2 linked regions of the Sus scrofa genome follow. The protein of the gene in region 1 binds, or shares a complex with, the protein of each later gene. Links are inferred from orthologs where the notes say so. Each region holds a gene or a part of one and is shown on either strand. Other genes may lie near its edges.

Evidence for each region. The genes of interacting proteins can lie anywhere in the genome.
Region 2: AKAP13 (region 1) and PKN1 share a complex: the UniProt entries of both Homo sapiens proteins name them as parts of the signaling complex. The link is inferred for Sus scrofa from reciprocal best matches to the Homo sapiens genes AKAP13 and PKN1.

Annotation. Positions count from the first base shown.
Region 1 is NC_010449.5:88,070,748-88,074,964, forward strand, and holds part of AKAP13 (A-kinase anchor protein 13), read left to right. Parts: coding exon 1-237; intron 238-4,103; coding exon 4,104-4,217. UniProt on the Homo sapiens protein: Scaffold protein that plays an important role in assembling signaling complexes downstream of several types of G protein-coupled receptors.
Region 2 is NC_010444.4:64,817,954-64,822,749, forward strand, and holds the start of PKN1 (serine/threonine-protein kinase N1), read right to left. Parts: upstream 3,231-4,796; 5' UTR 3,157-3,230; coding exon 3,118-3,156; intron 2,125-3,117; coding exon 1,821-2,124; intron 310-1,820; coding exon 158-309; intron 1-157. UniProt on the Homo sapiens protein: PKC-related serine/threonine-protein kinase involved in various processes such as regulation of the intermediate filaments of the actin cytoskeleton, cell migration, tumor cell invasion and transcription regulation.

The DNA of each region.
Region 1 (4,217 bases):
GGGAGCACTGATGACAGAGGGGAAGATCAGTCATGTGTTCCTGTCCAGTCCTTCCGAGTCAGGCCCAGAGACTGAACAGCTAGAGAGTGCTTCTCCAGGGAAGGCGCATGCTGTCCAGCCTGCGGAGACCCCACCAATGGGCAGTGTTTGCAGAGAAGCCTCTGAGAACCTTACAGGATGCGTTGCTGGAAGGGAGGAGCCAGAGAAGATTATTTCGCCTGTCCTGGGATCTGGGCCACAACAGGTAAGCACAGCAGAAAATAAAATCAACTGGTCGAGAAGCAAATTCCCTTAAGAGTCTCTGTGATATGCTGGTAAAAATATAGGTCTTTTTTGTTTAGAAGGCTTGTATTCATTAGATAGGTTGCCAGGTTACTAGTCAGCACCACTCAGAGAGGCACGTCATCTCAGGGTTGGACAGATTCTGCTTCCTGTATCCTAAACTCCTGGCTTAATTGCTTAAAGCCTATAAATGCTCTGTCTGTCACACTGGAGCAATTGTGACTTTCCTAACCTGGAAAACAGCAGCTAGATCCCAGGTGTTCTACAATGATAAAGGAATTTAGCAGATGTTTTTATTCACATGGTTTAGTCCTTTTTCTGGAGAACCACAACAAACATTGTTGAAAAAGTGTATTTTAATATCAAGCCTGAAACTCCTTTCTTTTCCTATCATTCTAGTCTCTGTCCTGAGCAAATTTAGAGTCAGAGTAGTTTCATGAACAGCTGTAAGTATCATTCTGAGCCAGTGGCCCAGCATCCCAAATGGTGGTATTAGGTCATTGGTGGAGGCTGAGGGGGAAGGGAACTCCCTCCTTTTCCTGCCTGAGGAGCAGACCTCCAGTTCCATTGCCTGTTGCTCTTGGGCAGCAGTCTGGGAATTCAGGACCCTGCACAGCACAGGGGATAGGATGCAGGATTTCCGCCCAAGCCTAGTCTGCTGAGCTGCTGTCACAGGGCAGACGTTGTGTCTGCTTATCTTGGTGAAGCAGCTGCACCGAGCAGATTGCTCACACAGCAGCCTGTTCCATCTATGGGTAACCATGTCCAGAGAGAGCGAAAAGAAACCACTATTGCTCAGTGGAAATAAACGATCTGAATAAAACTTCTTATTGGGGGTTGAGGCTGAAGCTCAAACTGGAGTCTGACTCGGTATTGACTCCTGAAGTCGTTCAAGGTCAGTTTGATTAACACTTTGAGACCACCACCTGTTACCAGGTATAGTCAGAGGACCTATCTCCATGCTTGCCCTAGGCTCTTGTAGGTAAGAAACCTATTTTATTCTTATTGTTTGTTTTTGCTGTTCTAATTTTTGAAAACCCCTTTACTGTAGTATGTGTTAAGAATGTGGGGGTGGGACATGTAGAGAAATGAACAAAAAGAATAAGGAAAGAAGTTGGTTTTGAAAAAGAGCAATTTAAACACAGTGGTCATTTTTGCTGATAAAGGGTTTTTAACCACTTATAATCTATTTTTCTAGTTGAGGGATTTCAGAAACCTAGCAGTATTTTTAGTGACTTTAGGCTTTCTGTTTTATTAATGTTTTGGATTGTTCGTGACAGAAATTTGTTGGCCGCTCTCTCAGAATTTAAACAAGAATATCTCTAATTTTTAAAATAAGGCACAACAACAAGTCTATTTTGGGGGCCCTGGCAGGTTGACATTTTAGAAGAATGGGAGTGGCTGTAAGCTGATGCCTGGCTATGTTCTTTTCATTTGGGTGCTGCGTCTTTGGCCACATGGGCTGGAATTATTTCTCTTTCTGGCTCTGTAGTCAGATTAACCCAAGGAAGTACGAACTGTATAAGGCTTGTGTCTAGAGGTACCTTATGAAAAAAGACAGAAACCAGGAAGTTTTTAGACTTTGATTTTTTAATAGTCCACAATACAGTAATGATGCAAAGAAATTATTTTTAAGATTTTAAGGTTTTAGGAAGGAGAATGAGAAGAAAATCAAGTTTCAACAGTATCTCTGGGTTTGGGGTTGGCTCATATGTGTGGGCGAGTTACTTCTTCTGCTATGAAGAGTCATATGTGCTCTGTGCTTATGGCTTCAAAGAACAGGGAGAAGTAGCCAGTGATGAAGAAATTGGTGCTTTCTTCAGAAAATAGCCAGGATTGGGGAAAGACCCCGGTCACATTGCCCTCGAGAAAAAGCACCTGAGTGTGATCTCAGACTAAAGGGTGTTTTCTAGAAAGTTCACATTTCATTCATGAATTTAACCACACTGTTTTGTAAGTGAGGAGACAGAGGTTAACTCCTGACTTGGAAGGAGCCCCATGGCATTGGCTTCTGTTTTTATATACTGCTGTTGGCAAAGCCAAATAGAAATTGAGGAAAACACAAAACTTTGAGTTAGAATGAGGGGATGTGGCCCTTCATCCATCGAGAGTGTTGACCACAGTGCTTTGGAAAGTTGGATGTGCATGACTGAGTTGGGCCAACACACCCCACAAGTCTCAGTAATCTCTGTTTACCATTGTGAGTGGTTGCCACTTGCCAAGACACACATTTTCAGTTGATGGGTATAGGATAGTAAGGATGTACCAAAAATCACATCCTCAAATAAAATAAAAATCATCAACCCTCTCTAAAAAACAAAACAAAAAAAAAACTATAAGAAACCTATTTTACTCACTTAGAAATATTTCAGTCAAGGAGTACTTCTAAGGGGATTGCTTAGTCATATTTTTTTTAAACTTTAATCACATTTTATGAAGTGTAGGAGAGATTTTGGTTCTTTTAATAAGGAAGAGTGCCCATTTTTTTAAATGCTAGTGAGGTTATATAATTATGAATAAGGACAAAGAAAGGAGACTTGTAAATGTTCAGTTATAGGAATGTAACTTTCCTAAGTCTAAAGTAGGCCTTTATTACAGGTCACAGTATGCAGTTAAAAAACAGTGGTCATATATATTAATATAATTAATCATATATCTTAATATAATTTATCCTTTGGTAAAGAACCACCTCTAACTTTTGGTATAGGGAACTCTGCTAGAGTAGTGACATGACTAGATTACTAACAATCACAGAAAAGTATTTTCAAATGAAATTGAGATCATGATTCCATTTGTATTTGGATTATCAAGGTGAATTTTGACTGTTCAGCCATCATTTCCCTTTAAAGAAGTATCAAAGCATGATTTTTGCCTCAGACATCATTTTATCACTTCCTTCCTGTATATGCTTGACCATATGGTAGTTATTAAATTTTGGTCTGTTGAGCTTAATTCTAAAGACAACATGAAAAGACTTTTCCTTGAGAAAAGGAATTGCTTGTTTTTTATTGTTTTGGTTTGGGAAAAAATAAAAGTGAAAACAAAACATAATTTACTAGAGTAGTTCAGTCTCATCAGTTTCAGTGATGGAAAGATCAGTATGTATAAAATGTTTTAAAGAAAGTGAGACTCTTTCCAAAGGCTTTGTCTCATTCTCAGCAGCTGTTTTTGTTCTGTACAAATACCTGCAAATGTCTCTTGCCTCTTTGATGATGATCCAGATGGACTACTAGCTTAAGCTGTCAGTCTCTTCCCTTCAAGCTTGTGAGTGTACTTTTCCACATGCTGGTCAGCACCACACTCATTTGAATTGTCATTAAAAGTCAATAATGGGAGTTCCCATTGTGGCGCAATAGAAATGAATCCAACTAGTAACCATGAGGTCACGGGTTCAATCCCTGGCCTCGCTCAGTGGATTTGGGATCCAGCATTGCCGAGAGCTGTGGTGTAGTTCACAGACGTGGCTCGGATCCCACGTTGCTGTGGCTGTGGCGTAGGCTGGCGGCTGCAGCTCTGATTCCACCCCTAGCCTGGGAACCTCAATATGCCACAGGTGCAGCCCTAAAAAAAGAGTCAGTAGTGAAAATGGAAGTTCAGTGGACGTTGAACTGCATCTTCGCTTAGCTACAAACCCACATAGAGGCTAAGGAAAAACCATACAACCATGCGATTAAGGACTAGCTTAGCACTGGTCACTGGCTCCAAAGCAATACTTCTGTTTAACACAAAAGCAAGAGCAAACATATGAAATCTGGGACATGTTGTGTAAATAATAAGATCCAGGAATCAATTTTTCAAATGCACTCTGGAACTGCCTTGTTCTCTTCAGAAATGCCAGACACAAAAGCTGAAGATGAAGTGGATTTTCTGAATAACCCTGGGGAAAGTTCAATTTCTGCAGAGGTGGCTATCAGCAACAGAGCTATGACACCTGA
Region 2 (4,796 bases), on another chromosome or scaffold:
TTCTGCCACTCAGTCATTCATCAGTCCCTCTGTTCCCAACCCAGAGGGCCCAAACCTCCCATGGGGGACATGTAGGTACCCCCCCAAACCCCCTCACTGTGTGATGTGCTCCAGGCGTATGTGCACACAGGGGTGTGTTCACTCGTGCTGCCCCCACCTTGGTGCTGCCGTTGCTGTACGTCTGGATCATGTTTTCCGCCCCCTGCTTCACCTTCAGCTCGATGGCCAGCTGCTTCTCCAAGCCAGCCACGAGGCTCAGGTTGGTGGCTGAGCAGGTTGGGCCACCTGCACCGGGGGACTGGGGGGCATCTGGAGGGGGTGGGTGGGACAGAGTCACCATGGCCCTCACCTCCATCTGCCCAGGAAGCTTTGCCCCAGCTGAGAGAACCCACCCGGGAGGGCCGGGAGGAGAAAGAACTGGGGGCCAGGGGACCCAACCACACCATCGGTCACAGGAAACCCTCTCAGCGCTGGGATAGGACCAGCATGAATGAGCATGGGCAAGTGTCCAGGGGTGCATGAGTGCCTGGTGTTGGTGTGACTATACATACCTTTGTACAGAAGCCCCCAACTATGTACATGGCTGTGTGGCTGTCCATGGGTGTGGCTATGCTTATGTCTGTGACCCGAAGGGTGTTGGCATAACTGAGCATATGTGTCACCCCAGGTGCTAGTGTAACTGTGAGATGTGAGGTGTTGGAGTGACTGTGTGAGGCTCTGGGTGCTGGGGTGACTTTATGCATATGATTCCGACTGTCGGCACAACGGCATGTTCAGATTTCCTGGCACTGGGACCACTGTGTCCAAGTGTCCGGGTGTTGGTACAGTCAGACATGCGTGTCTCTGGATGCTGACAGAGATCTGTGTCAGGCTCTAGACAGTATTGTGACTATGCGGGGGACTCTGGGTACAGCTGTGACTGGATGAAGTTTTGGGTGCTGGCTGAACTCTATCTCAGAGTGTTGATGTGACAGTGTTGGTTTTCAGCTGTCATCTAGGCAGTGTAGGTGTGTTGAGGTAAGTGGTGTTGAGTCTTGTCTGATTGCGTATGTAAGTTTTGGGCTGTTGATGGATTGGAGAACATCTTAAGGACTGGGCAGATCTGTGTAAGTGTGACTCTCTGGGGGTTGGTGTGAACATGTCTAAGTCTCTGGGTGTTGTTCGTGTGACTATGTATTTCTCTAGGTGCTGGGTGGTGGTATGGAAGTTTCTGGGTGTTGTGGTGAGTCTATGAGAGTCTCTGGATATTCATACATTAAGACAGGTGCTGGCATGACTGTGTGAGAGGGTCACTGGCTCCTGATGTGATGAGTTTAAGGGTCTTTGGTCACGAGATGCAAACGTTGTGCAGATCCTTTGCACAATAATGTGCGTCTTCTCAACATCATTGAACTATAACCTTCAAAATGATGCATTTTCTGTTATTTGGGGGTTTTGGGGGCTGCACTCGCAGTATGTGGAAGTTCCAGGTCAGGGATCGAACCCATGCTACTACAGTAACCAGAGCCACTGCAGTGACTACATCGGATCCTTAACCCACTGAGCCCCAGAGGAATTCCTGTTATGTGAACAAGTCTTTGGGGGTTGTCCAAGTGGTGTGTGACCATGTGAGTCTAGATACTCATGTGGGTGTAAATCCTTTGGGTGTTGCCAAGGTGTGGGTGTACCTGTGTGTACCTTTCTCTGGGTGTTGGTTTTGGCTTCTTTTCTGGTTGTATTCTGAGATAGAGCTGTCATGAGTGTGTTTCCCTGGGGGTCAGTAGTGATGGGTGAGCCCTGGAACCCCCACAGTCCCGCATCCCTGGGAAAGCCTGGCTCACCATGGGCAGTGGCTGCGGGGTCAGGCAGCACCACATGGGCATGCAGCTCCTGCAGCTGCTGGTGCAGCAGGTCAAGCCTGCGTGAGGAGCCACGCAGCACAAGCTCCACAGGACCCAGGCTGCGGCCCAGGTCGGTAGTAGCCCGACGCAGATTCTCAGCTCCCTCCTTCAGCTTCAGCTCCTTGCGGATCTCCCGCCGCAGCCGTTCCCGCTCCAGCTCCAGCTGCTGCTGCACCCCGGGGGCCGCCAGGTCGGCACCCGCCAGGCCCAGCTGCTCCAGCAGGGACCAGCTGCGGGGCTCACTCTGCAGGGGGGACGGAAGACAGAGTGGGGTCAGTGGGGACCAGGAGGACTCTGGGGTGCAGACCATACTCAGCCAACCTGGCTTGGCCTCCTCTCAGGGTGGGACTCCTGACACAGGGCCAGCTCCATGTTCTCTGACCACCCCTCACCGCCACCAAAACTGGGAAGTGAGACAAGACGCTGTCCCTGCTTACTGACATCACCAAACTGTGGTGTCCCCAGGGCAGGGCCTTCTTCCTTCCCTGTCCCCTCGCCTATGGGTATAGTTCTGTCTCCCTTCATCTGTTCCTATGCAGTGAAACTCTGGAAGACAAGCCCCATCACTCCACCACTGTGTCCCCCATGTTGGGGGTTCCCTGAGGACAGGTACTATTGCCCTTCCCTTGTCCTCTCAAATTAGAGGGTTCCAGGGACAGACCTCATCTCCCTTATGCTGTCCCCCCAAGTGACACAGTCCTGAGGGCAGATCCTTTTCCCCTTTTGCTGCCCCCCAAACTGGAGATAGGCCCCATCTCTACTCCCCTATCCCCCAAAGTAAGAGGTCCTGAAAGCGGGTTTCATCTTCCCTCTGTTGCTCCCCAAACAAGGAAGTATCAAGGGCAGGCCTCTGGTGCCCCCCAAAACCATAAAGTTGGGGTCTCAAGAGCAGGCCTCCACTCCTCACTGCTGTGCCGTCAAACTAGATGCTGAGGGACAGGCCTCGTCTTCCCTTCTCTTGTACCCCCAAACTAAGAGACAGGCCCTGTCTCCCCTCCTTTCATTCTCTACAACCAGGACCCTAAAGAGCAGAGCCCTGTCCTCTTTCTCCTCTGTCTCTCCAACCTGGAAGACCCAAAGGGCCCCCCGATACTTTTATCTTTCAAACAGAAAACTCCAAGGCCAGCGCCCCATCTCCTCCCCTCAGTCCAAAACCCAGAGCCAAGGGCAGGGCCTCTGGCCCGTGCTGCTTGGGGTCCTCTTCTGCCAACCACCCCATAAGGACCCCAGCCCCCACCTCCAGCTCCCGGTCCAAAGGGGGACCAGCCTCCGCCATCCTGGGTCCCGGCTGAGGGCCCCGCCCTCTTCCTGAACCTCAGCCTTGCCAGGGCCTCTCGCCTGCCACTTCCTCTTTCCTGCTAGCTCCCAGCAACCCCCGCGACAGGCCGGCTCTGGGGCTCTGGGGCATCTAGAGGGCCTTCCTCCCAGCCCCCACTCCAGGGCTGAGCCTGCTTCTCTGGAGGCATCCCAGGAATGGCCCCAACTCCCTGAACCGAGAGGAGACCCAAGGTGTACACAGAATACACACACTCACAAGCCCACTAGTGTGGACACAAAGAGCAGCCTCCCCCATGTGTACAGGCTCCAGGGGCTGACCTGGGTGGGCTCGCACCCTCGTGTACCCATAGGGGTGTGCACAGATCACAGGCTGACGAGTGTGTGCACACCCCCACGCCTGCCCCTGTGTACATTATACGCAAACACTCAAGAGTGCTTATGTGAGCAGCCCAGCCCCCTTCCTGCAGACACAGCCTGTCCCAACTTCCGGCTTCTCAGCTCGGTCGCCCGCTGCTGCTGACCACACCTTGGAGGCTTAGGAGGCCCAGCCAGCCCAGCGGCACCTCCTCAAGGCCCACATTGTGAGGGGACAGCACTGGAGGATTGAGGTGAGGGTGTCCCCAAACCAGGGGCTCACTAAAACTCAAGTATGACTATTAAGAATGGTGACAGTTACTACAATTGCACCCAGGTCGACTAATGCAACTCCAGGAAGCAGGTGCTATTATCATCCCATCTTCTTTTTTCCTTTTTTTGGAGGGGGCACCTCACAGCATGTGGAGTTCCTAGGCCAGGGATCAGATCTGAGCCTTATGCTGTAACTGTGGCAACGCTGGATCCTGTGCCAGGCTGGGGATCAAACCTATATCCTGGAGCTGCAGAGATACTGCCAATCCTGTTGCACCACAGTGGGAATTCCTATCGCCCCATTTTCAAGATGAGGAAACTGAGGCCTGGAATGGTGACATAACTTGCCCAAGGCCCCTCAGCCAGCAGGAGGCAGAACTGGGATTTCCAACAGGAATGCCTAGAATCTGAGCACTGGCTAGGTGTCAAGCATAGTGCAAAGAGCTCCATGTACATTATCTGCTGCCACTGTGAGAACCCATTTCAGAGATGAGGAAAGTCATGGTTGGATCCTGACCAACTTCCAAGGCAGCTGACCCCGGGGAGAATTTACTTCTAGCCAAAAAATATCCCTCCCAGGATTCTACCGACCCCTCACATTATCCTGAGCAGCTGTCATAATTCTCCCCCACTTTATAGGTGAGGAAACTGGGGCTCAAGAGGTGACAGCTTCAGTTCTCAATGGAGGAAGGGATTTTACCACCACCACCCAACTTTTGGGGACATCTGGCAACATTCAGAGACATTTTTGGTTGGTTATCACAACTAGGGGTGCGACTGGCATCTACTGGGTTGAGCAGCAGAATGATGCTGCTCGGCATTCTACTGTACGCAAGACAGCCCCACCTCAAAGAATGATTCAGCCCCAAATGTCAATAGTATGGAGGCTTAGACAACCCTGGATTAAAGGACAAAAACTCACACCCTGAGCTGCTGAACATGACCAGGAAGGATGTCACAGTAGTCCCACTGGTAGACGTGCTGGCCTGGTCTATGTCTTTCCCCACGGTA